Linked DNA regions of Lonchura striata. The main gene of each other region encodes a partner of the protein of the gene in region 2 in a complex. Links are inferred from orthologs where the notes say so. Each region holds a gene or a part of one and is shown on either strand. Other genes may lie near its edges.

The links.
Region 1: the proteins of CACNA2D1 (region 2) and CACNA1E are in contact, whole or in part, in a cryo-EM structure (PDB 8EPM), measured with the Homo sapiens proteins. The link is inferred for Lonchura striata from reciprocal best matches to the Homo sapiens genes CACNA2D1 and CACNA1E. Residues at the interface, in NP_001353796.1 of Homo sapiens: Thr170, Asp171, Tyr173, Ile233, Leu235, Ser261, Gly262, Ser263, Ser265, Gly266, Leu267, Lys270, Ala327, Lys328, Gly329, Ile330, Thr331, Glu366, Gln391, Asn393, Tyr394, Ile416, Gly417; in NP_001192222.1 of Homo sapiens: Gln110, Leu112, Pro113, Glu114, Asp115, Asp116, Lys117, Pro119, Arg122, Asn630, Phe631, Asn632, Asp633, Gly634, Ile1330, Gly1331, Asn1332, Val1334, His1336, Met1341, Val1343, Arg1346, Arg1393, Ser1394.
Region 3: the proteins of CACNA2D1 (region 2) and CACNA1C are in contact, whole or in part, in a cryo-EM structure (PDB 8WEA), measured with the Homo sapiens proteins. The link is inferred for Lonchura striata from reciprocal best matches to the Homo sapiens genes CACNA2D1 and CACNA1C. Residues at the interface, in NP_001353796.1 of Homo sapiens: Thr170, Asp171, Tyr173, Ile233, Leu235, Gly262, Ser263, Ser265, Lys270, Thr274, Ala327, Lys328, Gly329, Ile330, Glu366, Gln391, His392, Tyr394, Ile416, Gly417; in NP_955630.3 of Homo sapiens: Phe147, Pro148, Glu149, Asp150, Asp151, Ser152, Asn153, Ala154, Asn678, Lys1090, Gly1091, Asn1092, Tyr1093, Ile1094, Tyr1096, Gly1099, Val1101, Pro1104, Ile1106, Arg1109, Tyr1156.

What each region holds. Positions count from the first base shown.
Region 1 is NC_134611.1:2,000,905-2,010,228, forward strand, and holds the start of CACNA1E (voltage-dependent R-type calcium channel subunit alpha-1E), read right to left. Parts: upstream 3,715-9,324; 5' UTR 3,619-3,714; intron 1-3,618. UniProt on the Homo sapiens protein: Voltage-sensitive calcium channels (VSCC) mediate the entry of calcium ions into excitable cells.
Region 2 is NC_134607.1:63,576,329-63,586,055, reverse strand, and holds the start of CACNA2D1 (voltage-dependent calcium channel subunit alpha-2/delta-1), read left to right. Parts: upstream 1-5,491; 5' UTR 5,492-5,605; coding exon 5,606-5,700; intron 5,701-9,727. UniProt on the Homo sapiens protein: The alpha-2/delta subunit of voltage-dependent calcium channels regulates calcium current density and activation/inactivation kinetics of the calcium channel. Plays an important role in excitation-contraction coupling.
Region 3 is NC_134607.1:12,784,203-12,794,291, forward strand, and holds the start of CACNA1C (voltage-dependent L-type calcium channel subunit alpha-1C), read left to right. Parts: upstream 1-6,221; 5' UTR 6,222-6,859; coding exon 6,860-6,908; intron 6,909-10,089. UniProt on the Homo sapiens protein: Pore-forming, alpha-1C subunit of the voltage-gated calcium channel that gives rise to L-type calcium currents. Mediates influx of calcium ions into the cytoplasm, and thereby triggers calcium release from the sarcoplasm.

The DNA.
Region 1 (9,324 bases), on a different chromosome or scaffold from region 2:
TGTTGAGTTTTCTGCTGCCCTTCCTGCAGAGATCAGGCTCAGACATCTCCAGCATCTCACCAATGCCAGGGGCAGGCGCTGCACACCAGGAGCTTGGGGTGTTTTTAATGGGATCCCCCATTCCCTGCTCATTAAGTGACAGGAAATTGAGTGTTTTGGCACTAAAGAAATAGAACAATAACCCAGAACCAGGCTGGGAAGCACAGATGCCTGTGGATGGCAAACTGCCAGAGGGAGTGTCTTAGTGCCTGTGCTGGTTCCTTTAAACAACTGCCTGGAAAACCCAATATTGGATTTAAATCCACAACAGGCGGCCTCTGAAGCAGGGAGCACAGATCCCAACACATCTCTGCTGAAGAGGAGAAAAACAACCCTTCTGAGCCAATAAATAGTACAAGCAGAGGGTTGCCTTGACATGGGATTTTTTGGGGGGAGAATCCCACCCCCCTCACTTTGCAGATGCCACCGCTGGGGAATTGTGGAACAATTGGTGCCAGGGGACACCCGAGCCAAGCTGCTCAGAGCAAAGCCAGGATGATGCCGGAGGTATCAGAAAGGGAGAAAGCCCAAAGCCTTCGCCCAAGCCCCCGGGCTCCCGCCTGCCCTGATCATTTCTCAGCCTGACAGAGAGCTCAGCAGCCTCTCCCCAGGCACGAGGCCTCACGCCCGTGACTAATGGTATGTTTTGACATCCCTGAAATACTCCAGCACTTCATTTCAGCCGCAGGGAGCAGGAAGGAAGGAGGGGACATGCTGGTGGGGAGCCGGCACCGGGGAGGGGAGGGTAGAAAGAGCTTTTGCACGAGCAACAGGCAGGGATAAAGCAAAGCAGCATGGAAAACACTCGGGAGATGGATGAGAGGCAGGTTGAGAGCTGGAAGGCACCTGGGGGCCCTGTCTGGTGCCCTCTGCTCCTTGGCTCTGCCTTCCCTGCAGCTCTGTGGAGATGCAAGGCACTGGATTTATCCATCTCCTCCTAAACACACCGCTGGAGTGGGGACACAGGGATGCTCCACTGACCCCCAGCACATGGCTGGGGAGGGATGCAGGATGCTGGAATCCCTGCCCGTGGTTAAAGAGGGATGCAGGGTGCTGGAATCCCTGCCCGTGTTTAAAGAGGGATGCAGGGTGCTGGAATCCCTGCCCGTGGTTAAAGAGGGATGCAGGGTGCTGGAATCCCTGCCCGTGGTTAAAGAGGGATGCAGGGTGCTGGAATCCCTGCCCGTGGTTAAAGAGGGATGCAGGGTGCTGGAATCCCTGCCCGTGGTTAAAGAGGGATGCAGGGTGCTGGAATCCCTGCCCGTGGAGGCAGGAGAAAGCAGTGTGTCCCCAGGCTGCTCCTTTGGACTGTCTCCAGCAGAGGCAGGAAGATGACAGACAGCGGTCCCGGGGGAGGCTAATTAATGAGCATCTTCTGCGTTCCAACAGGCACCTCCGGCCCCGGGGGAGCCAGGGCAGCAAAGAGCATCTCAGCCACCAGCCGAGCTGCTGGCCACCACCATCTGCCAGCCACGGAGAGGAGCAGCCGAAGCCACGGGGGGGATGTGGAGCTTTTCCTGGCAGCTCTCGCTCATCACCAGCTGCTCACGCTGGGGCTCAGGCGGTGCTGCCGCTGCCCAGGGGCTGGGGAGAGCCCAGGGCAGGGGTCTGCGTGGGCTCCACACCACCACGGGCAGTGCCCCGAGAGGCAGAGGGGAAAAAGGGAACGGCCCAAAAGAGAACTGGCCCAAAATGCATCCCTGCCCTGAGGGAAGAGGCTCAGAACACCGCCAGACTCACCCCAATCTAGCAAGCAGAGCAGAAGAGTCACCCCCTGAACTGCATCAGCCCGGGGTCCACCCCTAAATTCCAGCCACGAGCATCCTCAGCGGCAGCCACGGCTGCAGGAATGAGCAGGAACTCCGGCTGCCATCACCCGAGTGCCACTCGCAGAACTTTCCTTGGGTCACTGGGAGCAAGGAGCCGGTCTGGCAGCAGCAGAGGTGCTGGGGGTGTGCCGGGGGGGACTGGTTTCTCTTCTCAGCTGTCACCAAAGTCATCGTTGTGGCTGTGAGTGATTCACAGGAGTGCATGAAAAGCCGTGAGTCACACGCTGGATGCAGTGGGTGGGTGCATTGACTCAGCCACACCGCGGATGGGGCACGGGGGGCTGCAGCCTCACACGGCCCGGGGGACAGGGCTGCTTGCATGGGGTCACGGGCAGTGCTGCCAGAGGTCTCACACACATGCTCAGCTCCCATCAGTGCCCTCAGCAGTGTGGGTGAGCCAGGGGGAGGCTCTGCCTCAGCATCACCCTGTCACCTGCCCCAAAAGGGTGCCAAGGGGCCGGACTGTGCTCTCGCTCAGCCTGTCACTGGCAAAAGGTTTGTACTGTCCTGCGTGGCAGGAGAGGAGGAGGAACCCCCCACAGGTACTCAAGGGGTGCAAATGCTTCCCAAACTACAGCGAACAAACTTTCCAGGTGTTCCAGGACCGCTGAGGAGTGAAGCAACTCTGCCAGGCAGCAGCAGAGAGCAGAGGGGAGTTCAGTGCCAGGGCCTGATGCCACCACCAGCACCAGCTTCACCTCCCAGCCCTGTAGTGCCGCATCCAGGGGGCTCAGCCCACCTGCAGCAGGAAGAGGGGGCTGCAGGAAACCCTCCAAAGGCTCATGTTTGGATGGCACTCGGTCTCTCCAGTCACTCAGCGGGTGATGGCCGAGCCCAGCCTCACCAGAGCAGCCGGCAGCAGCAGCCGAGGCTGCGAGCGCCCGGCTCATCCCGCTGGCAGCGCCTTCAGTCATGCTCTGCCTCCTCTGCCAAAGCAGCCCGGCCGTGGATGGGGAGCAGCCCGGAGTGTCACCGCGCCCCACGGCACCCTGAGCCCGCTGTGCAGCACGGAGCAAGCCCGGAGAGCCGGCTGAGGGAGATGTGAGCCCCGGGGCGCACAGCGTGGGGCAGGCTCCAGGTAGCACCGCTGATGATGCGGGAAGTGTTATCCTGGCCCCGCCGGAGCCACGAGCACCCAAACACACGCTCTGCGACGCAAGAGGAGCTGGGAGAGCCGGAACGACGAGGCAAACAAACCCTGATTTAGGACCCCGCTCGTTCATCACTGTCACCGGCAGCGCCCAGGAGCAGCACCTGGACCCACAGAAAGCCACTGGGTGCAGGGACACAACACGACACGGAGCACTGGGTGCCGAGGGTAGGCAGAGGAGAGGAGCCAAGAGCTCCAACACGTTTGGGAAGCCCTGGGCTGGCAGGGGAGGCGGGCTGGAGCCGGAGCAGCCCAGCGCTGCCCTGCATCCCGGCCAGGGCTCCCCAGGGCAGGGGGACAGAGGGGGTGACACCTCAATCCGGCTTCACCCAGCGCTCCACGAGGGCGGGCAGCCCCCAGAACGGCCCCGCGTACACAGCATCCTCCCCGAGGGTGGCGGGTCCCCCGGGACCCCCAGTCCCCCCCTCCAGAGCACCCTCAGCAGAGAGCCGAGGCTCCCTTAGTACAAACTTTGCGAGAGCCCATCCCCGGCACCTGAGCAACCTCGGGAATGGGAAAAACCACGGGAGCCGGGCTTCAAACTTGGGGTGTCGTCCCAAAGCGCTGCTGGAGCCCCCCAGCTCGCCGCTCGGAACCCACCTGTGGCCGCTGGCCGCCGGCTGCTTCCCCCGCGCTCCAGCCCCGGAGCCCCGCGCATCCCGGAGAGCGGCGGAGACAGAAGGGAGGGGAGGAGGTGTCCACCGGGAATCGCTCAGAGAGAGGAGGAGGAGGAGGAGGAGGAGGATGGAGACAGCCCCAGCTGGCGTCTCCCGACCGTCCCCAACAGGTAGCAGCGAGCGGGGCGGGGATGGGGGGGACACGATGTCCCCGCGGACTTTGGGAGAGCCCAGGGCCACCATCCCGCTAGGCATGGCTTACCTGGGGACAGAGGCATGGATGCGGCCGGGGGTTATTCCAGAGGCATGATTTGTTATGGAAAAAGGAGGAAAAGAGCCCTGGGGAAGGGAGGGGAAAAAAGGGAGGGAGGGGAGAGGAAGAGGGGAGGGAGAGACGAGAGGAGTAGGGAAGGAAGGAAAGGGGGAGGGGGGATAAAACGAATTTTTTTTTTTTTTTTTTTTTAAGGAAGAAAATAGAGACAGTTAAAATCTGTCTCCTGCCCACACAGTGAAAAAAAGAAATTTCTGACAATCGGAGGAAGGGAACTCGCACATAAACCAGAGGGGGCAGACGGGGGATAACAAAGGAGGGAAGGAGCCGAGACAAAACACGGCGGCAACTGTCCGGGCACACAGCCCCTGGCACAGCCCCGGGGCAAGGACGGGGCACACAGCTCCCCTCTGCCCAGCCAGGCCAGCTGGGGTCAGGGGGGCCCAGCAGCAGCACCCACGAATCTGGCAGAGCACCCCCCACTGCCCCCCAGCCCGTGTCAGGGCTCCCCCATCCCTCCTTCTCCTCCTCCCTGTGCACACCAGGGCATGGTGACCACGACAACCAGCCAAAGTGAGGGCACCTGTGGGGACAAGGGACACGGATGCATATCCCCCCCCCCCACCCCACCCTACCCTGATCAGAAATTGCTGCTGGGAAGGGGTTGTGCATTCCGGGCTCCCTCCTTAACCCCATTTGCAGCCTGGTTTGCAGAGGTGCATCTCCTCTCCTTCTGCTTGGGCTCTGGTTGGCTTTCCCAGGCAGTGCCCGTGGACAGCTGGACCTGGAGGGGCAGGGTGGACGGGCTGGAGGTGACACAGCCGCTCTGTGTCACTCGAGGAGCACTGTGTCACCCCCCAGCACTGCCACCGGTGCTGCCAAGGGCTGCTGCTCCAAGGCAGCACACAGATTTCTTATATCCCCCCTGGCACGGCACAGCTGCTGGGCACAGAAGTCCCCAAAATCTCATCACTCCTCTGGGAGACCACATCCTGCGGGCTCCTTTGGGTGGCCCACACCACGATGTCCCTTTGCCTGGGCTTTTTCCTTTCACCACACTGCAGAGTATCCCAGGAAACCCGAGTGGCTTGGCAACGTCCAGCAGCATCCTGGACTTTTTAGCTTCCTGGGCTGGCCACAAAGGCTGCCCCGAAGCTGACCCTGAGCCCGGGCAGGTGCTGCTCCGTGGCACACAACCCTGCTCCGTGGCACACGGGCAGCATTTCTGCTCCTTGTGCTTTGCCAGGACACCGTGTGGCTCTGCAGTGCCCTGCTGGCATCTCTGTCACCCCCTGACAGGGACACTGTGCCACCCAGCCTGGCTGCTGTCTCTTTAAAACCTTCATCCCTAAATCTGAATGAGGGGAATCTTGGAGATGAGTGCTTCATTTAAACATCTCATCCAGCACTCCCTTCATTCATTCATGCTCCTGCCCCAGCACACTCCTGCCAGCACCTCGGGGAGGAAAACCTACATGTTCCCATTCTCCTTGGGATGGATAGAAATCCCTCAAACAACTCCCAGGACCCTGCACACCAAAATCCAGCCCAAGCAAGGCTGTTCTGGCACGTACAGAAGAGTGCAAATGGTGCCACAGGGTCCACTCCTGTCAGTAATTCCCACTCATTCTCTCGTGTTCCCAGAAGCTGGTCCTGATATGGATGAGAACATTCCCTGTTGGAGGGCATCCCTCCAGCTGCCCAGAGCAGGGGCTTTGCCACCATCTCACACCCAGCCCTGCATGCGTGGTGCTCCCAAATCCTGTTTTCCATGGCCTCTCTGCAGCTGGGACTTACCCAGGTGGGAGCCAGCTCGAAGGCTCCGAGAGCACTTCCCCAGTGACAAGGCCAGGGTGTGTTTATTTAAACACACACGTGCTGCTCCTTGGGGACCAGGGATGCCTTGGATTCGGATGTCTCCATGGTTACCTGCTCACGGTGGGAGCTGGGGGTGATTGAACTCTGAAGAGTTCACCATCCACCACCCATCTCCCTGGGCTCCGCTCTGCCTCCCCAGCAAGGCTGCTCCAGCTCCAGAGCAGCAGGAGGGGGAGGAGAAGCCAGGTTCTCCCCAAGAACTCGTTACGTGAAGAATTTTGCCGGCTCCGTGGATGACTGGGCACGAATGCAGATCAGCTTCCTCATCCCGAAAGAAAAGACATTCCTGATCGGCACCGAGACAAAGCTGAGCATCTCCTCCCACCACCCAGAGCCAGACAGGAGTGAAATACGGAGCGACAGCATCAGGAGCAGCACCGACATCCCGGCACGGAGCTGCTGTCATCCCTGGGGAGCAGCGGCGCTGCCGGCATTCCCAAGGAGCTGCAGGAGCTTCCCCCAGCCCTGCGGGGTGAGAGTCCAAGGGAAAGAGCCAAAAAACGCGGGGCTGCAAAGCCCAGCTAGGCAGGAATGAGCATTTCTACATGCAAGGGCGTCTGACTTTGAGCAAAGCCTCAAAGGTTCGTGGAAGCACCTGCAGATGCCTGAGCCTGTTGTCCAAAGCACTTGGAGCTGATCCATGGGCTCTGCTGACCCTCATCCCACCCAGCAGCACTGTGCAGAGTAACCTCAAGGACCTCCAAGGTTCTAACCCACAGCACAGCACAAAATCCCATCTGGTTTTCCTCCTCCCCACTCATACAGCCACAAACATTCCAGGTGCAGACTATCAGGGGGCAGCTCAGAGGGTGACCAGAGACCAGCAAAGCACAACTTGATGGGGAAAAATTTGCCTGGAAGAATTGGATTTGTCTAGTCTGGAAATCCAGAAGAGATTGGGTAGCAGTCTTCAATTATGTAAAGGGTTGCTGCAAAGGGTGTGAGAATAAATTGTTCTGCATCCCAACAGGGATTCTCTTCTTCCACAGGCAATAGGACGAGGCTGTAAATTGTAGATTAGACTAGAAAACAACCACCTCAATGGCAAGGATTATTTAAATTGTGGGACAGACAACAGGGAAGCTGCTGGGATTTGAGAGCAGGCGAGACAAACACCAGTGAGGTGGGCTGGAGGAAGCAGTGTGAGACTGGGAATGGACCCCCATGCGAGCTCTGCTCTTCCCCAGGCATTTTAGCACTCAGTGCCTACCTCGAGCTGACTTTTCACTGCTTTCTGCCAAGCAGGAGTGGACCAACAGCTTTTCTGAGGGTGATGCCTGCACCTTCTGCAGTGCCCATGCTCTCTGTCCTGTGCTTAGGACCCACAGCACATCAGGGAACACCACCCAGGGACCACCTCCCCTCCCAGGGAAGCTGCAGCAGGATGTCATCACCCACCCTCTACGTCCCAGCAGGAATTAGTGGTGGGGTGCAGCTCCCCACCCTCTCTGGAGCCATCAGTGCCTGTAAAGTTGACCAGTCTGGATCAGAAACTCCAGCTCTTTATGCCCCTTTTGAGTACCACACTCGTGCCTTTCAAGCTGAGCTGTGTGTTTTTTCTACCAAATCAGCCTGTGGGGAGTTTAAACAGAGCTAAAGAGACAAGAGATGAAGCCCAGGGCCAGCTGAAAGCAGCTTTAAAAACAAAGAAGCCCAGTGTACTCAGCAAAACCTCCAGCCCAGCTGCCAAATTGCCTGCTGGTCCCATAGGTGGTGATAGCAGGAGAGATCCAGATATTCAGATTTCCATCAGGAACAAGCCCTGCTGCCCTGGAGAGAGGAAGTTGCAATTGCCACAGGGAAGAGAAATTGGGCAAGGGGTGCTGTGTGCCTTCCACAGCTGGTAAATACTCAGAATTCTACCCTGGGGTGAAAAAAGCACTTTCCAGTAAATTCCACATGCTCACACTAAGGTTTGTCCCCAAGGAGCTGCCTGTGCCAAACTACAGACTTCTGTTTAACAACAGGAGAGCACATGGAACTTGAAACATCTTTAATAATATTTACCCTCTCGCAATAATATCAACGCTAACAAGGCCAGAGAAGAAAAAAAATCATCCTACATCTCAGGATGTTTATGTAAAGTGAGACTAAACTTTCCCAAAGTAGGAATTTTTCAAAAACCAGACAATCCTCCCTGGAAAAAAAAAAAAAAATAAAATTTCAGTAATAAATTTATGAGATGAGGTTGCAAAAGAAAAATACCAGAGTCCTGTGGGAGACAGACAAAAACATGGAACTTTCTCTTTTGGGACTGTACTTTTGGCCAGCTGAATCACAGGGAATCTGCATCCTGAATGGGATGATCAAGAAGCACGAAATTTGTCTGAAAAAAACCTCCTAAAAATCTCATTCACCCATCAGCTACTGCAGACTGCAAAAAGAAATATCAGCAAATAAAAATATCAGCGAATACAAATTTCAGCAAATACAAATTTCAGCAAATAAAAACTTCTGCAAATAAAAATTTCAGCAAATAAAAATTTCAGCAAATAAAAATTTCAGCAAATTTCCCTCTGAATGCTCTGGCTGAATTTTGTCACCTGGGTTATCACCAAACAGGCAGCAGCTCCAGCCTGTCACTGAAACCTGAGCACAAAGGAGAAGCCTTTGCCCTGCCTGCTGCTCCACCTCCGACCCTCAGTTTATATTCCATTTCTGAAACAAGTGCTGTTCTCCACTTCCCAAATCCTACCTTTCAGCTGGAGCACAGATTTTCTTGGCACTCGTTCTGCCTCGCTGCCCAGCCTCCTGTGTTTAAAATGTCTCTGCCATGTGGGAAGCACGCAGGGACCTCTGCTCTTCCCTGTCCCTCTGTGGCTGCAGGTGCCTGCATTTCAGCACAGATATTTTTATCCACTTCCCCACCCTCCCCATCCCTGTTTGACTCAAATCTGAGCCATTCCACAGGGTCTGTCTCACAGCCCAGTCAACACAAGGGGAACTGGTGCCAAAAACCCATTTCTTTCTGATCTGATTGTTTGTTTTCCTGCCTTTCCAGTTTGGGATTTTTGACAGGGAGCCATGTGAAACCAACTGCTCATTGTTTACTGGGAAGCCTGCGGCGGCGTTTCAGTCATTTCGCTCGCCAGAGGACCCGAGGAGATGATGGAAAGTCAATTAGCTCCCTGCAAAAACCTCTTTGCCAAAGCTCTTTGGTGTCCACGCACGCAGAAAAGCCAACCCAAACAAGTGGCCAGGCAGGACCAGGGCAAAGCTGCTCCTTGCTCTGCTGCCCAGTTTCCTCCTCCCCTGCTCCACAAAAACCACCCTGCTCCTTATCCAGAGGGTTTGGAGAGAAACCCAACAGGGCAGAGTTCCTGAGAGGGCAGCTCCATCATCCAGCATCTTCCCAGCTCCTCCAAAAAGCTCCTCATGCTTAGGCAGGATGGGCAGATCCTCACCCTGGTGAAGCTCTGGTGGCAATCCAAGAGCCAGATGGAGTCAGCTCCTCCCTGAGACAGCCCAAACACACCACCAGGTACAGTGGCTGCATGGCACTTCTCCCAGCAAACCTTCAGTCATGTGTGGTTTTTCTTT
Region 2 (9,727 bases):
GTATCAAAAAACCCAAGTGTGAAAATACATACAGTCCTGCTCTAATGACTAGAATTAGAATGAATGCTTTCCTCAAATCTGACAATAACAAGCAAAGCATAAACTGTCATATCAAATAGTGATGGTTTTGCTGCCACATCTAGCATGCTTACTCAAATATGAACAAAAGCAATGGTGAGAACAAAACAGTGTTGATTATCTTGCTGTTGAATGTAGGTCACAAAGTTTTTGCAATATAAATTTTATCAAATTCAAATATGTAAAACAATTCATCTCACTTGCAATGGGCTGGATCTTGCATTTCCATCTGGTGCAGACTTCAATAAGAGAATTTTTACCCCTGAAATTAGAAATTGAGATCAGGCTGTCTTTAGTCAGTCCTGCACCAGCAAATGGAATGAGAACTACTCAGCAAGATTACCCCCTCCTTCCCCATGTGAAACACAGACATAAAGAAGATATTACATGCCAGGAAGAAAATAGTATTTTGGTATGTGCCATTGATTATCAAAGAACTGTAGAACCAGAGAATCATTTAGGTTGGAAAAGACTTTTAAGATTATACAGCTCCACTGCTAAACCAGCACTGCCAAGTCCACCACTAAACCATGTCCCTATGTGCCACATCTACACATTTTTTAAATACCTCCAGGTATGGTGACTCAATCACTTCTCTTTCACAGTGCTTGACAACCCCTTCCATGAGGAAAATTTTTCTAATATCCAATTTAAACCTTTCCTGATGCAATTGAGGCCATTTCTCCTTGTTCTATTACTTGTTACAGAAGAGAATGACCCCCACTTTTCTACAACCTCTTTCCAGGCAGTTGTACAGTGATAAGGTCCCCCCTGATCCTCCTTTTATCCAGGCTAAACATCTCCAGCTCTCTCAGCCACTCCTCACCAGGCTTGTGCTTTACACCCTTCTCCAGGGTCATGCACACAATTTTTGCCATGTTTCAGCAGGCACATTTTGGCTGAACCCAGTAACATCTGGGGGTTCCAGCTAGTGGAGCATGTGTTACACCAAGAAGAAAGGTGGAATGTGCTCAGCAAAATGCTTCTTACGGCAAAGGGCTGGCAAGAATAAAGCCAGTACAGATTTATTGCCTATAACACCCCCACAAAAGACACTTGAGGCCCTTGGTAACTGTGTCCCATCTATTCACACAAGTGCTGCAGTCACTGCACTGCCAAGAATTTTTCTGAAAATGCTGATTACTGAAGAATAAGTTTATATACAAGCATAAAACCACATTAATACAACTTTAATTCTGGCACTAACGTAATCAATTTGGATTTTTAAAAAATGGTTAAGAGACAGAGGGCCATGCTCCTTCGTCTTTTATACTAGATTTGCAATGGTGTAAATAAGACATGATAACACAAATAATATATACAGAAATGGAAATAGAAAAGCTTGATCAAGAATTAATATTTGCTACGGATTAACTGTGAAACAGCATTTTGTAGTTTTGCAATAGGAATTTTTTTCTGACATATGGACTACTATGGTCAGTTGAGTGATTTTCAGTACTTGCAGTAGAATCATAGAATGAAATCACAGAATCTTTTAGGCTGGAAAGGACCTTTAAGGTAAGAGTCCAACCACAAGCCTAAATCTGCCAAGTCCTCCAAACAGATACACAGAAAACTTTCCAAAAGGTGCCTCATTCTATCAATACCTGTTGCTCCTGTGCTCCTTCACAGAAAGATCTCGGTCAGACATGACATAAATAAATTTAGAATGAAGTGAAGTAAGAATGAAAAAAATTTACTTTTGTTGTTTGTCATTCAAGTGCATAAAGAAAAAGATTTGTTAGCTGTAATAGATCTTTAGGAATCTCAGTGCAGATAAATTATAAGAATTTCTGCAGTGCAATGTTACTGTGAAGTACAAACCATGTATTTTAAACAGTGACTATATAAGAAAATAGTTCAATTGGCAAATGTAAGGAAACTGATTGTTTAGGACACTTGAATGGCTTTTTAAAACTTCATGATGACACTACATTTGTGCTTCTTTTTTCTGCATTATGGGAGGGTGAAGACATACCAAGAAACTTAACTCTGCTAATTTTATGTTTTATGTCAATCACACTTTCTCATTGAAGGTAATGGAAACTTTGAGGCCTGTTACTCATGTTCATACACTGTAGGATGAGGTCAGCATTTCTAAATATTCTGCATATTTATTAAATACTTGGAAAATTAATGAAATTTTAGGCCACTAATATAAAAAAGATTTAAAAAAAAGAGTGGGTGATTAGTAAATAACAAATTGTTCATGGAAAAAGTCCTGCTTTCTTTTCTTCCCCATGCTTCAGGCTAGCAGTGGATTCCTGATTTTCAGATTCAAAAAAAGGCAAGACTATAAAACCTGACCTCCAACCTTACTTAATTTTACAGGAAAACTGTTATTTGATTCCACCTTTTCTCAAAACTGGGCTTCAGTTCAAGCTTACTTGTAAATCCTGAAAAGCTTGCAGGTCGATCACAGACCTTCCAGAATGCCACATCCCTGGTCAAGCTCCATTTTCCAGCCCTGGCTGCTCCTCCACGCCTCAAGCAGCTTGCTGGGAGCTAACCTGAGCTCCATGCTCCTCCACGCTGCAGCCACACACAGACAACTTCTCTCTTTCATCCCCGGGTTTCAGTGAGCTCCACAGGCACTCACGCTGTTCCCAGTAGGATTAGCTTGCAGAGAGTCTTGTTATATAGTTGTAAATAGCACAGTAAATTGCAAGCTTTGAATACTTCTTTGATAAATCATAGCAGTATTTTCTCTGGAATCTTTTTCATTTTTCAGCTGTTGTTCAGTGTATTAGTGCTGATTAATCCATACCCTACCCTAGCTGAGGTGTTAAGCAATCCATGCATTGCACAGTTCAATTGTTAGCCACGTGTTACTGTTGTTGGAACTATTTGCAGCTATAATTATTGCCCTAAGAAGCTCTATAAGCATCAGAAATGAAGCTTGCAGAAAATTATATTAATGATGAAAGAAACATTCCTGTGTAGCCCTTTAATTATTTATTTATTATTTGATGTTATCACTCCCTGATCTTCTGGTCTCCTTTACATTATATTGAAACAGTACTTGTGAGTAAGGGTGGGCTTGCTTATTCTGCCCTACTGAAACCATTTCCTCTGTATGTTTTGCAGTTACTTGTACCCTCTCTTTCCCACACTAACATGTCAGTACTTTTCTGTTTGCCACTCCGGTGGGTTCTCCTCTGGGAGAGCACCTCTTTCTCAGCTTAGTGCCCAGAGCTTGCTCAACAGGCCCTTGGAGGCAGTCCTGCTGGGAATTTAACATGAACGCTTTCCTGCTGAGAAGAAATGGGCATATGCTTGATCATTCAGGTAAGGAAGGAACCAGGTGGGGCATTCTCATTTATTCTGGAGGGGTGTTGCCAGTGTTAATCTATTACTGTTCTGCTCAGTGCAAAACTGTAGGTGTTTTGGGGCACAACTAACTAACTGAAGAACATCTGGTTTCTGGTTACTCAGCAGAGTTTAGGCATGAATTTGAGCTAAACTTCAGAGTCCTATCAAGGAGCAGAATCAGTATTTTTGTTCAATATTTACTGCTACTCTTAGTGTGAGAGCCCAAAAATGAGGAGCTTTGTCATAGTAAATTACTTTATCTAAATAAATTTGTCATGGTCTTGTGCAACCTGTACTAGTTCACATATCCAGCCCCTTTCCTCTGTGCCTTTCTCCAAGACTTTAATCCATTCCCTACATCTTTCTATCCCAGATCTCCTCACAATATGTCTCATATGAAGCAGAACTTTTGTGCCACAGGGCCATGACTGTGCTGGTACCCTTGACATCCCCGTGGGGAAGCAGAGGTACTCAGCTCAGCAGTTACAGGTAAGTACCCAAAGAGGTGCCACTTCATGTGGCAAAACTGTCAGGCCTAGGGAAAGCAACAAAAGCTGAGCTATAGATACTCTTCAGACTGTTTGAGTCTAAAGGCTGCAGAATCATTTTAGAAAATGCTATTTCAAACTTGCATCCAAACCCTGATGAATCCTACGTACCTATAGGTAGGTGGATAGGTGAAGACAACTGGGAGTTCTTCCCACCAGCTCCCAAGTGCCAGCTCCAATCCAGAAACAATGTAGATGAGTGACTGCATGCTTTACAGATTGCAACTGAAATATTGTGCTGGCTTTGAGCCCGGGCAATGTGAGCACTCAGTTCTTCATTTGTGCATCTCAGTTTTGATCCCTTTGCCACCTTTAAAATAAAGATGAGCACTTTTCTGTTTTATAGAAATGGTTGTGAGTTAATACATTCAAGATGCGATCCTTAAATACAAAGGATGCAAAAAGAAAATGAATACTGGGTCTGCTCCTTTATCTTCACCTGTTGAACTAAGTGAATATATTAAAATATAAATATGTAAGCACATACAAAGAATAAAAAAAAAAAACAACAAAGAAAAACAACCTACAGATCGAAAAGAAAACAAAAATTTTCACTGAACTTTTAACTGCTTTAACAAATAAGCTAAGAAATATTTTCCTGGATTACTTTCTACATTTATACCGAGAGTGTACAGTTGCCACAGAGACTGGCGTGCGTGAACACGGGCAAACGAAAGGAGTCGGGAGGGAGTTCGCCCTCTGAATTTCCAGAGGGATGTGAAATGAATAAGTGGGTTAGCGATGCGGCGGGGCGGGGGCGAAGCCCGAGGACCCCCGGCCGTGCCCGGGGGCGGCGCTCAGGGACGGTGCGGCCCCGGGACGCTGCGAGGGGCGGGGGCCGGGCGGGCTCCGCGGGGAGAGCGGCATGTACGGCTACATCCATTAAATACCTATTTAAATCGCAGCCCCGACTGCTGGCACACGGGCCGCGTGCGGCTGCTGCTGCCGCCGAGAAGGGAGGAGGGGGCTGGAATTAGAAGAAGGCACGAAGCGGTTTTAAAAATAGCGTGCGGGCTGCGCGGGGCGGGGCGGGGCGGCGGCAGCGCGGCCCCGGGGCGGCCCGGCCGCGAGTTCCTGGGAGCCTTGTATGGAGCGCGGCCGCCGCAGCGCCCGGCGCCCGCCCCCGCCGCTCGCCGCCACTTTCCCCGCTGCCGGCAGGGAAGGCAGGAGCCGGCAGCGATCCGCCCGTCTCCAACTCTACCGCCCGCTTCCCTCCTCTTCTTCCAGGAGCCGCCACCCCGCCTGCCTCTCTCCTCCTCTTTCTGCTCTGCAATCAGTGGAATAAATCGGGGAAGGACGCGCGCACACACACGCAGAGTGGGATCTGTTACAAAAGTAGCGCTGATGGCGGCGGATCAGATGGAGCTGGAGCTGCTGCTGGAGTAGCAGAGAGTGGAGTATCTCTCGCTCGCTCTCTTTTCTGTGTTTCGCCTCTTCCCCCACTCCACCCACAGATCTCCATCGTTTCTCCTCCTCCCCACCCTCGGCCGCGCTCCCGCTTTTCCGCGCATCTCTGGGCTGCGCCTCCTGCGAGGGGGCGGGTGGGGGGAGCGGAGGAGGCTTTAAAGAACCACGGCCCCCCCCGCACCGCCACACACGATAATTGAATTTATTATTACTGCCGTCTCGCCGACTTGGGGAAGGGGGATCGATCTTCGATCAGGAAGATGGCTGCTGGCTGGCTTCTGGTCTTTATCCTGACACTTTTCCAGTCCGTGGTGATGAACCACTCCTCGGAGGGACCCTTCCCCTCGGCCACCACGTAAGTCCCAGCGGGGTCCGGGGGTCCGGGCGGGGGCACGGCCGGGGCGGGGGCGCTCCTCGGCGCCAGGGACAGCGACAATACAAAGGGAAATCAAGTTAGACCGGGCGGAAAGTGCAGATCGGGGGAAATTGTAGGATTTCGGCAGCTTTTTCTTAAAAGAGTCAGGGTAGGTGAAGGTCCCGCCGGGGCGATCTCCGGGAGGGGGAAGCTCCGGTGACGGCCGGCGGCGGGACTTTTGAGGTAAAGGCTTCGCCTTGGAATCCCGCTCCGGAGCGGCTCCCAAATATACCCCGTCGGGTCATCCTTGTGGAGAAGAAAGTTTCGAGTTACACAGAGTCCGCCCCTTCCTCCCACAGAGGTTATTCCAGCCGGGATGGAGTTTCAACATTGTTTATATAAAAAAACCTGAAAACTTCGGCAGTTTTATCGAAATCCACGCGGAAGGCGGATTTCGTTGCCTTTCCGCGGGCGGCATGGGAAGCGGGGCAGGCGGGCACGGCTGCGAGTTCCGAGCCCCGGCTGCCTCCTGCCTGGCCGGGCTCCAGCGCACCCGCGGGGCTCGGGGCTGCGGTGGGTCCCGCGGAGGGGCTTTGGCACGCTTAAAGCCACCCAGCCGAAGGAGGGATTTCTTCAGCCTTGGCCTTGCCGAGCCTTACTTCTCCGAAATATCTTCGCGAGAGCTGAAGGATGCTCGCGGTGCACGCAGCTCGGTGCCTTGCCTGGCCCTGAGATAGAAATCTTTAAAGCGCTGCAGAATTATTAGCATGAAAGTGTTGCCCAGAGCAGTGCAAAGATCAAATAATAATGATGCAATAAAAGAAAGGCAAAAGGAAAGACAATACATATTGAAGATTCGCCTACAGATAGGAAAAAATATCCACGACAAAGCAAAGCACGATGTGATCGTGTTTTCTTCCTTTTTCTTCTCTCTCACCTCATTATATTTATAGTCTTTTTGTTCGGTTGGGTTTTTTTTTTTTTTTTTTTTTTAAGCACTTACCTTAGTTCTCGAATCTGGGTTACAGCTACCAGTAGGTAACTTTTAAGTGGATGACTCACTTTAATGCATTTTACATAAGAAAAACAGTGCTAATGGTAGTCTTTTCTTATTGTTTAACATTGGGTAGAATTTATTGGTGTCATTCATCCTGGGTAGAAGGATGCCTTGCAGTAATTACCGACAATGCATTTTCACCAATTAGTACTGCTGGTAGGTTGTTATAATTGGATTCAGTTCTGTGTATCGGTTCCATTATGAAAGACTCAAAGGGATGCTCGCACTGTTAAATGAAAGGACCACAAAAATAAGTGTGGAATAAACACTTAGTATTTTCTAAGTTGAATAAATACAGTTTTCCATTTTAGAGAAAATTACCTTTTAAAACATTCTCGTGTAGCAGTTTATAAAGATGTGCCATGTAGAAGCAAGTGTAGCAAAATACAAACCCAGGGCTTTTTAATTCATTGTTTTCTTGTGTTTCTCCCATATTTACGATTTTTTGAGCTCTGATATTTGTGGTTTCTCACTGAGCTGATAAGGTTATCATACACATCTAATTACAGTTTATCTTCTGTGGGGATTTTTCTGGGTTTAAAAAAGAAAGAAAAATGGAACCCAGTGAAATTAAAAGAATATAATATAAAAAGATTATGTATATATCCAAATAGAAGTCCAGATTACTTTTTAACCTAAGAATATGTGATATTCTTTTAAAACTGTTTTTGTCTCCCCATCTATTTTTGCTAATTTCCTTCCGAATTTACCTTTATTGACAATCATGATACTAGAACTTGACAACAGTGAAACATATAACTTTAATTATAAATATATCTATGATAAAGTAATTCAGAATATTATGTTAGTCATCAACATTTCCATGTTCTGCACAATCTACTTGCTGTTTACTCTCTTTTTTTTCCTCATTGTTATTCCATTGCAATATTGCAGAAACAATCTATAGTGACTGTGCATCCCTCACTACTGTTTCCCCTTTGAAATGGCATCAAAGTGCAAGCAAGGCTTAGTTTGTTTGGAAGGCAGCGCACAACAGGTTGATGCAGGGAGAGCTGTTTGGCAAAAAGTAATGATGTAACAGGTGAAGGAGAAAGCAATTTTTCTAATCTTCTTTAAGACTTGACAGCAGTGTTTCATTTCTTACTAAAAATTACAAATGGGAAAGAACAAAGAGAAGTGACGCAAATGCTCTTAATGTAAAAGATATTATATATTAAGAATATTAAAAATAGGAATAAAAAACACAGAGGAGAGGAGAATAAAGGAAAGAAAGGATATGAATAATTGAAAAACTGGAGTTTTGCTGATATTATGTGCATAGTACCTTCTTTCTCCCCATTATTTTCAGTCTCTTTTTTCTCTTAGTGAAAAAGTTGGTCTGAGGAAGGAAGATATCTTAGCTGTGTTGTGTGAAAAATGTGCATATTCAGGGATATAGAGTATATGGTTTCTTCAGCAGCTCATTAGTGCACAATCACTTTTCCTTCAGTCATCTGTTTCTTCTACATTAATAAATATTTTAACATGAGTCTTTACTGAAACATTCAGGAGTCCCTATCACAAATATAACAATATAGAAGCATGTAGTATTCTTAGCAAGAAATGCTGAAGGTTTATGCAATGCTTTTGTGATAGAATTTTAGTAATTTGATTTATTTTAATTCTCTGATAAGGTAAAAAGGCCCTGATTTGTTTACAAAGCAAAATAGAGATTTTCAGGTGCAGGTTTGTGTTGTATGAAATGCTAGCATTAATTTTTCATTGAAAATCTGAGCAGGTGTTATTGCATTCCTTGCTTCCAGTGTTGAAATATTTCACTGCAAATATTGAAGATTGTCCTTTAATAAACTATTGAAGTATAGTAGTAATTGTATCTTGGACTGAGCCATAAGGCTTAGCTGCTGATTGATGTATATTGCATTCCATTTAAATGTATCATATTAATTGTGTCATATGTTAGGGATCTGTTTGTTGGTACAAGATACCATGTTCTTACTTTTAACACAGCAACTCCAAGTCCTTTAATTACACCTGCAACACAGCTGATGTTTTGCACTTAGATGAGAATATTGTATGTAGTACTCCCAGCACTATAACCACTACTGCTATAACAGTATGCAAAGCACTTATTTTTTGTAGCCATATATATTTATATATTTATTATGTTTACAGACTTCAGAAAAAACCATACAGTTAAATACACAAGGTTTGTATGTTGCCTGATAAGGATAGCAGAGGAGTCAGATTATTTCTGTTCTTTTCTCTACACTGCATCAAGACAAATAGTCTTAAGTATATCTTGTAATTCCTAAGTATCTTTTTGGCACAGCATGTGTTGATATTGTTACCGATAGTGAGTAATGTACTACATAAAGACACACATTCTCCTTTCTGATAATAAACCTGTTTGTACTGATTAAAAAAGGAAAAAAACAAACAAATGAAGCATATTTTAATTTTTATAAAACTATGGATAAAATGTTTCAAAATCATTGGGACTATTTCTGTAATTATTGCATCACTGTGGATATATCTTAATGTCTTTTCTTTTTATCCCCCCTCTAATTTTCCTCTTCTACTCCTTTTCTCTCTTTCCTTTAGCATTTAACATTTTTTCCTCCTCAGTCACTTGTTCTGTATGTATGTATCACATTAAATATTAAATTCAAGACAGATCTGCCACTTACATACATTGGTGGATAAAGATAATATAAAGATAAAAATAGTATATGTATGAACGTATATCTATATGTATGCAGACAGGACATTTTTAGAAAAGAAGTTGTGTTTTCACATTTTTGACTTGCATGAATCATCTTTGCTGTTTTGGTGTCATTAGGACGACTCAGGGAAGTCTGTATGAGTCATATGAATTAGGGCTTGCACAGCTGGGACATTCATATTTTTGGCTTCCTCACATGGACCTAACAAGTGTAGGTCCTGCTGAGAGTGTGGCTAGACTTGGTCTCAGCATCATTTTCTGTATGTCACCAGTGACCAGAGGTAGAT
Region 3 (10,089 bases), about 51 Mb from region 2:
GAAACAGAGGTTGATTGCTGGGTGAATTGTGTTTTTCTTCATTTTGGAGAGAAATAATTGGGGGGAAAACAGCCAGAGGAATACCACAAAGATTGCTTTATAACCAGATACACTTACTCTGCAGTGTAGCCCTTCAGTATAGAAAGAGTCATTGTTGAAGATGAAATGTTGACATTGTATATCAGGCCAACATCATGGTAATGGAGTATTTTAACAAATTAATCTAATCATCTTCCTTGCAGCTGATCCGTAAGATGATGTATTTTTAGACTATTTTATCTCATTAGTGATTATTGCAAATCCTCCAAAATCTGTCAGAACTCCAAATTGCTAGCTTCCTTGAGTTTGTCAATAATTTTCTGTGTTGACAAAGCATATTTAAAAGTTTTGAATCTTTAAATTCCTAAAGACGAGGAAAGAATTTGGTCTTACAGCCCACCCTAACATCAATTTTTTTCTCTCTTTTGAACTCAGCTTATGAATTTTATACTTGGAATTGGTTTTCCTAGCTAAATGTGTTTTTCTGCATTGCCTTCTTATTTTCACTTTGTGTAGTTTTCATTGTTTGCTAATTAGGTCCACTGAGGTTTCCAAATGTCAGCATCATGTAATTCTAGTCACTGTCAGGTCTTCCTCAGCAACTTGCAAACATTTATTCTTTGAAGAATCCCTCCCGTCCAAAATAGTCTTTTTGTGCTTGCCCTAAATCCAAAATTCTGTTTGGTTCTTAGTTAAGAACAAGCTACAAACTCCATATTCTTGAGTATTTTCTAGAACTATGATGGAAGATTAAAACGGTAGTAAGCGCTCAATTTTTTGTTGTGTAAGCTGTGGCAAGTATCTAAGATACACTCAAGAGTTTGCATGATTATTTTCAACAATGTAGGCTGATTGGATGAAAAATTTGTTTTTCATTGTACATCTCCTTGTAGACATTATAAGCCCATGTCTTGTTTAACTGATGATTTTAGACTGGTATTAACCACAACAATTTTGCTTTTTTGCTTTTCTCTCTTCTTTTTTCTCTTTTTTTTTTTTTTTTTAATTGGCAGAAGCTAATGAAACAATGCTGAATTTAAATCTCTTTGTGTCAGTACCTAACCAATCTAGATAGACTCAACTATTTCTTATTTTAAATAGAAGCAGTGCAACATTTTTGTTAAGTTTGGGTCTTTCCCTTAAACTGTTACGGCAGAGACACCAAATTTTTCCAGACAATACTTTTGTATTTAAATTCTGCAAAGGTGTTAAACCTTCCTCCTGGCTAGGTATGATGATGATGGCATAATGAAAACTGGTAAAAGTTCTTTTCAAGTCTGATAAGCACAGCTGCATTTATGTTTTAACTTGGGACAAATGCCTATTTTGTTTTTAGAGTGTTGAAGCAGTTGTTTGCTGTTACATCTTAAAATTCTGCATGGATTTGTGCACTGATGCACAGTAATCAGACATCAATCCCCTGTTTACAGGGATAAATGGTGACTGCTTCCATTTCTACAGCTGGAATTTAAAAAAGCACTTCTGCCACCACCCATTGAGTCACAGATCACAGCTGACAGCCAGGATAGCCAGTGAGATTTGAATAAAATCACACTTTTGGACACCTAGGTTACTCTCTAGAGCCTTTTGCAACCTAGAAAACCAAAAGCTACTTGAAGGCCATCAATTTCATCTACTTCCTTCTCTTCTGGGTCTAATTACCATTTATTCTCCTAACTAGCTACTTTCCTACCCAGCAGTCAATTATTTAATTCTTTCTTTTTTTTTTTTTTCCCTCAGATCTAACATTTTCTGTCATTTACTAATACTAGGCCTTAATATGCTTTAGTGGGCCATACAACTACCTTGATAATCTTATCATTTCCCTTCTAATTTCTTAGTTGCTTGAAAACATTTAAATGCAAATATAAAAGCTAATAACTGAAATTTCAAGGTCAAGTAACCACTTCTTTTAATTTGAATGTAAAAAATACATCTAAATTTCCCAACTTGACTTTGAAAATCAATCTTTTTCACTGTATAAAATTTCAAAATTTCCTGTGTGCATGTAACTGTTACAGATTTTAAGGAATGAAATCACCTAGAAATTCTGATCATCAGTCTTCTGCTTCCCATCCATACCAGACTTTTTTCATCTTGAGAAAGTCTCTTGTGTTCTAGCTAGCTGATAATTTTGAAATGTCTGCAGTTTCCTGACCACACTTTGAATAGCTTTAGATAGGATTATCAATTTCTTTAATTTCAATTAAAATTAAGCAACCAACAAAAGTAAAATAAGGAACATTTTTATAAATCTGTATTCATAGGTTCAAAAAGGTAATTTTTTTTCATTAACAAATAAGAAGTGTGGAGAATGATGCAGTTTTAGATGATGCATAGTTCAAAAGCATCAAAAATAACTGGGAGAACAATTCTTAACACAGCTGTCCTGAAATATGAGAAAAAATTGTTATCATCAACATTTCATTTTAAAAAATTTACATTGTAGTCATGCAATACCAGCAAATACCCAATACTGGTATTTACTGTGTGTGGCCCAACAATGCAGTCTTGTCAGAAATTACAGGAGTTGTTAGGAGTATTATGTTGCTCATGCACAGTGATTCTTTAGTGTGCCCAGGATTTCTCAGACTCTTGCTTTAGACTGGAATGGTCATTTATTTAAAATAATATCCCATAGTCTTCAGTGCAAGACAGTGCAAATTCTTATGAGCAGCCTTCTCTGTTGGCAGAGGTGCAAAACCTAAAATCTGTGGGGAAAAAATACCTTTCGGCAAAGTAATGCAGGGCTCTGGCACCGTTTCTCTGAGCTGGCCCTGGAAGGAATTGCATTTGTATTGTGAACATTAGTACCATTTCTGGGATAAAATGCATTTATTTTCCACTTTTGAATAATTTACCCTTTTCTTTTAGAGTAGAAGGCATTACTGCCAATATAGTGTGAGCACAATCTACTACAATTAGACAGGCTATGAAATAGGCCCAGTGGAAATCTGACATCATTTTAGGAGTACTGAGGCTGCTTAAAAGAGCCTTACAAATAATACATTATAAAAATAGTTCAATGCAGAGTTTCTTGCACACTCTGCCTTAATCTCATTGCTTTCCAGCCCCATTTGTTCCATACAGCATGACAGTAACTCCTCCTTTTGGAAGCAGGGAAATGTTCTCCTGCACAACCTACTCAGGTGTTTCCTGTTCTGAAGATGAATGCAGGTTCTCTTCTGGATTTGGAAGAAGTTGTTGTGCCCAGTGTACTCTTTATAAGGCTGGACATCAGGGAAGGGCTGCTATATTGTACACAGAACAAAACATTCCTGACACGAAGAATGGACTTGCATGTTCACAGTATGTACCCTGCAAGTCATTTTTTGACACTTTACAACTTTAAATAGCAGTTTTTTCAAGAATCTCTGACTTGGTGCTTTATATGGCCCTCATCACTATTGTTCTCAGAGCAACAGGAGAACAATTTTTCTACTTGTACCACTGTATGGGATAGAAAATTTGTATCTTCACCTTAGAGAGGCCTAAGGCTGAATATACATGAGATCATTTGTCCAGTCTATCATCATGTATTTAAAGAAAATCCACAAGCAGGCCACTGTGAGATACCCTTGTGTCTGATTGTCCATTATCCATCTCACCTCCAAATCTGCTGGCTGCCGTATCAGGCAGGGACTAAGAATTTTTGAATCGGTTTTGTGTTGAAATAATATTTATTTCATAATTTTCTTTAAAGCTTATCTCTCACTTGTATGTTCCTCTTTGGGTGTGTCTGTGGGGATTGAACTCTGAAGAAGGCTAATTTTCTTAGTTTCTATGAAGGTTAATACCTCAAGTTCTTACCTGATGGAATACCTATTAAATGTACATTTCAGCAATCACATTAAGAAAAACTCTTACAAGCAGCTTTACTTTACTTTACCACCTCTTTACCAATCTTGTTTTCATGGACTACATCTTCTTTGTGTGTTTGGATAATGCAAAAACTTTAGGGGAAGGTGTGGTGTTCACTCTTATGCCACGTGATTCATTAGCAGGGTCTTTCCATCTTAATCCTACAATCAGTTTCCTTCCACGTCTCTGTATAGGAAATTATTTTATTAGAATTGCTGAGTAAGGAAACCTCAAGTTATAGTAGAATTTTATTTGTGCTGGAGAAATTAATGCCAGCTAATAGTGTTGTTTCTTGTTCTATTTTTCTTCGGTATTTGATTTTTGGTTATTGGCCCGACTTGTGTCCTACTGTGGGAGCTTGGCAGAGAGAGAGGGATAAAGAACAGAGGAAAAGATTTGTAGGTGTCAGAGACAGCTTGTGTATGTGCCTGCATACATATGTGAGCTGGCATAAAGCAGGGCTATGTGGATTTTAACTGCTTAAATAATACTGTACATTATTCTTCAGCTAGCTGAGGATGTGACCCCAGAAAGGCAAAAGAAACATTTACGGGTGCTCCAGCAGTGTTTGATTTCTGGGCAGGGGTGATCAGTACGCATTTACTTCCCAAGATACCTTGTCCATGCACGGGTGAATCATGCAAGGCTCAGTTGACTCATGGATGGAAAAACTGGAGTTAGCACAACTCAAAATGGCAAGGATTTGCGGTCACAAGAGAAAAACAAAATGTACATTTACACAACAAATGTAGGCAGTGAAGTATCTTCTGTTCAGTCCTTTTTATAATGGTGAAGGGAGGATGACTTTTTGAAAAAAAGGAAACTTGAACTAGGAATGAAAGCCAATATATTGCCATTCTACCTCTAGTTAAGATCTTGCCTGATCTGGCAAATGAAATGGGTAAGTGCATGTGACATTATTAGAGAAAAACTAGGCAAGAGAGGACAGAGTATTTTAATTGCTCAGAGGAACTCTTCCTCCTGAGTCGGAAATAAAGCTGTGCCTCTACATGCTGTCAATGGCAATATGGTGTTGGTTAATTACCCTTTGAATAGCATCTAATGCAGAAGTTGTGATGATCGGTGGTTATTAGAAACAACAATGACCTTTATTTAGGACAAGTGATTTGGCTGCATCAAGTTTTTGGTAAGTGCTTTACATCTATTCTAGTTTTTGTAGTTCCAAATTGATGTGTTGTGTGGTGGGGTTTCTTTTTTTTTTTTGTTTTTTTTTGGTTTTTTTTTGTTTGTTTGTTTGTTTGTTTGGGTTTTTTTTGTTGTTTCTTTCTATGAATCTGTTAGCTGGTGGTGCTTTCTATAATATTTTGAGCTCCAGCTGAAAGAGCTCAATTAAAGTGGAGGGGTGAAAGCTTCATGAGGAGATGGATATTTGATACTGAAAGGCATCTGTAGAGAAGATACTAAGTTTGGTCAACAGTATTTCTTTTATACGCTTTTTTTTCCCTATGTAAAATGGAAAACCACTTGAAAGGAAATAGCCATGGTGTTTTAAGCTCCACAAATAGTATTGCATGCATGTGTTGTTAGGTGGATACTCGGTTATGGTGAGAATCTGTAGCCCTGGGTCTGCTCCTAGGACAGGGTATTCCAAGCGTTCACCTCCGTGCATGTCAGAGTGGTTCAGTTCTTTGGGTTGTGGCAGCTTCTGCAGTGATTCTGAGGGGTGTTTTAGGACTCTGCATCTCTTGTTTAACATGGCAGCTCGGAGAGTCCAGATAGGTTTAACATGTACTGCATTCAGTTCGCATTTCATTTTAAAGGAGTCGTTTCTGCTCTCTGCGGAGGCTTCAATTATAGAGGGCCAAATGACAGGCATAATTAAGGCAAGTGGTGGGATACCAGCGGAGCACTTCGGCGTTTCCACCGAGGATTTTGCAAATCCTAGCTTGATTAATCTGTTTAAACATCTGTGCATCCTCTCGTCTGTGCAGCTCACCGCTGGGTACCTCTCCCTTCCGCTGCCTGCCGCGGGGGCTCGCACAGAGCCGCAGCCCGCTCCGCCGCCTCGCTGGGCGCTCGCACACCGCGCGGGCGGCTTCGTGCTCCTTGAAATGCGGCTCACACTCGCATTCCGTAGCGGAACCGCAGGGCAGAGCCCACGCTGGTGAGGCAGCGGGTCGGAGCGGGGCCGGTGCGCGGTGCCGTGCCGCTGCCCGGTCCGGCCCCGCCGCGGCCCGGCCCGGCCCCGCCGCTCCCCTCCGTGTCCCCCGCTCCCCCAGGCAGCAGCCGGCTCCAGCTCGCCTCCTTGACGTCATGTCTGTGGCGAGGCTTCAGCAGGCGCAGTGGAGGCAGGCAGCGTGTTAAACTTTCAGATCAAGTCCGGCGTCTCCCAACGCCGTGCGCGGGGAGCTGCGTGCAGCCGCCGCAGCTGGAACATCTGGAAGCGTTCAGTGTGTCTGTCTGTCGGCGAGAGGGAGAGAGCGGGGAGCGAGCGCTGAGGGAGGGGAGGGAGTAAGGGGCTGGGACTGTGCTCTCTTCCTCTGCAGAAACAGCTCCCTGCCAACACAACGCGCTCAGAATGGCTTTGAAGAGGAGGAGCAGCAGCGTTTGAACATCTCCCCCTTTTTTTCCCCTCTTCCTCCTGTTGTTAATCTTGTAGTTGGTGGATTTTAAAAAGACATTTAACCCTCAGAGGTTTGTCCTGGATGCTTTTGCCTTTTTTTCCTTCCCCCCCACCCCTCCTCTCGTTTCCCCCCTTCCTGTTCTTTTTTATGGTTTAACAGCCAGAGGTGCTGTGCTAAATTCTTGGAAGGGGCCCGGATGTACTGAGGATGCATTGCAATTTCACTAAAGGAGGCAGTAGTGGAAAGGATCAGTTTTTGGTGTTTGATGCAATAATGGGAATCAGGTAATAATAAAAGGGGAAATTCTGCAGCTCCATTCTTCCTTGAATTTTACCAAGCCGATTTTCGGAGGGATTATTCTGGACTCGTTTTAAATGGTCAATGAAAACAAGAGGATGTACATTCCAGAAGAAAACCATCAAGGTAAGCCTGAGATTTACCTCTGAGGACCTAGCAACCGTTCCCTCCCCTGCCCTTTGTCCCTTATCTCCCGGCTCAGCTCAGTCGCCGCCACAGGCAGAGGACAGCCTTTGACACCGGCTTCCATTCGGAGCGCGTAGCTCCCCTCGGCCGGGCGTGCTCCGGGGAGACCCCCGCAGCCCCTCTCAGAACGGCTTTTCTTAGGAAAGCCCGGGCAAAGAAAAGTTGCTTTAAAGTCGCCGTCGTCGCCTTCTCAGGCGAAGGGGCGAGGAGGGGCGGCCGGTGAGGGGGCTGCGCGCCGGGCCCGGGGGCTCGGGGGAGCCGCGGAGCAGCCGCTCCCCCGTGTCAAACGAGAATTAACTCGCAGGGCCGCCGGAATTAGGGGATCTTTCCCAATTAACCTCCTCCCGGTCCCCCTAAGCTCCATCTGGGTACGGCTTCCTAAGGCACCGGGAGAGGAGCCCTTCCCTTCCCTTACGCTATTCCCAATCTCTCGCACGAAAGGGGAGGGGAAGGGAGAATTATCTGTTTACACACATGTGCTCCATACATGCGCTCATGCTGAGAGAACGAGGGATACCGGGGGTGTCTGTATTAAAAGGAAAGCTGGGTTTTACGTGGGGCAGTCATTTCTCGCCGAGCTCCTCGCAGGATCGCCTGCATCATGGATACCAACCCGTGCTGTTGCTCCTCGGCATTAGCAAATGTCCCCCGCTATTCCCTGTAGTAAAACTTTGTTTGTCCAAACTCCAGAAACCTTCCCCGCCCCCGCCCAACCCCGATCTGCCGTTCCTGAAGTTATTTTTATCCCGTTTACCTGCATGGTGTCACCCCCTCCCCTCCCCTCCCGCCCTGGCTGCACACACACACGTCGGTGTTGCGGAGCAGGCAGAGCCATTTCCTCCCCTCGACGAGGGAAGAGCAGCGCTCCTCCGGGAGCGGTGTGTGTCTCTCTCCCCACAGCAGAACCCTCAGGCCAACTTCTCCCTCATCGCCCCCTCATGGTCCTCAGGGCAGCCCCTCCCCTCCTCGGCCGGCGACAAGTTCCCTGTGACAAACGTGCCCCCGCCCGCCGGCATCCAACACCTGCTCCGGGGGCGAGCGCGCCCCGCGGAGCCCCCAGGTAGCCCCGCGGAGCCCCCAGGTAGCCCCGCGGAGCCCCCAGGTAGCCCCGAGCGCCTCGGAGGGGCGGCTGGAGGTGCAGCTGGGGAGGGGCAGCAGCGCCGTGGCAGCCCTCAATGGTGGAAGGGCAGTGGGCTTTAGAGATAACACCACCCTCCTTCCGACTGAATGCAGATTAAAAAGAATAAAACCACCCAGCACCCCCACCCCTAAGCACTCCACCGAAATGAGGTGGGAGGGGAAAGGAAGCAGCCCCTGATCCAGAGTGCTTCTTCCAAGTGGGAGCGAGTCTGCAGCACATGCATTCGGCAGGCATAATTGGGCTGCTCTTCCTGGTCCAGCGCTGATAAAGTGGATGAAGAGCTCAGCCTCCATAGCAATATGCCAACGCTATGGCAACCTAAATCCAGCTCCCTCCTTATCAGCTGCAGTGATTATATAATTGGAGGAACAGTTTTGCATCTGTCTCTTGATGCGGATTGTCATTACTCCCAGGTGAAAGAGCAACTTCTAAAGCAAACAGAAAATCAGCCAGGTGGAAGAGAGTTATGTTCCCTGGTAGTGCTCAGGTGGCCATTTATTTACAATCTATTCCTATTTTATGCAAACAGCACCTGAAAGGTTAAATTGATCAGTAGTCAAGAAAACCTGGTGGTGAGGAGATGGGAGCAAACCAATCACAAGGTGGAATGGAGCCATTAAAGCAGCCACAGATTGCAAGGTAGTGATAGAAGAGGGGTAGAAGGTGAAGCTACGTCTGGGATCCTGGTCTGCTCCTTGCTTCTGACATGCAAGACTGATTTAGATCAGTCCTCGCTCTTGCATCCTGCACAGTTGCTGGCAGAAAGGTGAATGTTCCAGGTTCTTGGTGGTGCAAGACAAATTTTGATGTCTATTCTTGAAATGTGACTGATGTGAGCAGGCCTCTGCTAGCAGCTGCTGCCAGCATAGGTCTGATGTCAGCCCACCTGAGCTCACACTCAGCTACCTGGGCAGCAGGGGAGCTGCTCCAACAAGGCTTACTTAAGGTAAATAAATAAATAAAGCATAGAGGCCATTAGTTACATTGTGAGTGCTATGGGGGAGAGGAAGTGTATTTGAAAGGGCTTTGTTGGCTTCTTAACTGCCAGTTGGGTAGGTTTGTAATAATGCTTGTTTTACACTTCTGAGCATGACTAGGTATCCTGAAAATCTTTGGCCCTAAAGTAAGAATTTCCTCTTTTTTTTTTTTTTTTTGGTTGCTAAGCCTGCTGTGCTTTCATGACAGTCTCCTATTGCACAAAGGCAAGTAAATAGTGTGTTATTTGTTGATGCTGAGACACAATGTTCATTTTGGTGCTACACAATGGAGTATATTTTTTTTAATAGTAATTATTAATTGATACAGCTTATGCTTGTCTAGAAAATGACAAAACCCCACCCAAGAAGCACCAGCAAAAGCTTCCAAAACTAACCACATCGCATCTAGCGCACATGTGGGACTGGGCGGAATCCTAGACGGGCATCTTTAGTGCGCTCCCTCTTAAGACTGTTGAAAACTTGCTCTCTTGGAATAAAACAGAAAATCGCTTTGCAAAGCCACGTGTTGCAGCCCCCAGTCGGGAGGGAGAGAGCGGAACGAGCCCGCCCGGCCCCGGGGTGGCCGCATCGGGGTGCCCGGCGCTGCTCGGCCTCGCAGCGAGCTGGCGGCTGGCTGAGCTCCGTGCCGGGCAGCTGTGGCAGGGAAGGAGGCGGAGGCCGAGGTTTCGCTGCGGTGCTCAGCCCTGGGGCCGGGCTGGGGAGGGGTCCCGGCTGCCTCTCCCGGAAGGTGGCACTGCCGGGCCGCGCTGCCGGCACTCGGCACTGCCCGGGATGCTCCGCATGGAGCGCCGAGACGGCTAACCCGGAATAAAATTCATTAGGATTGAAGAGCCCCTGCTAGGTCATTTATTCCGTGCAGTAATGATCCTCTGAGCGAAAAGCCACCGTGTCTGAACTACCCTGCCTTCAATTTCAGATAATGCCTTTGGGCTTTGTCCTTGTTGCATTTTTTGAACAGATTTCTACCTGCTGCTTGTAGAAA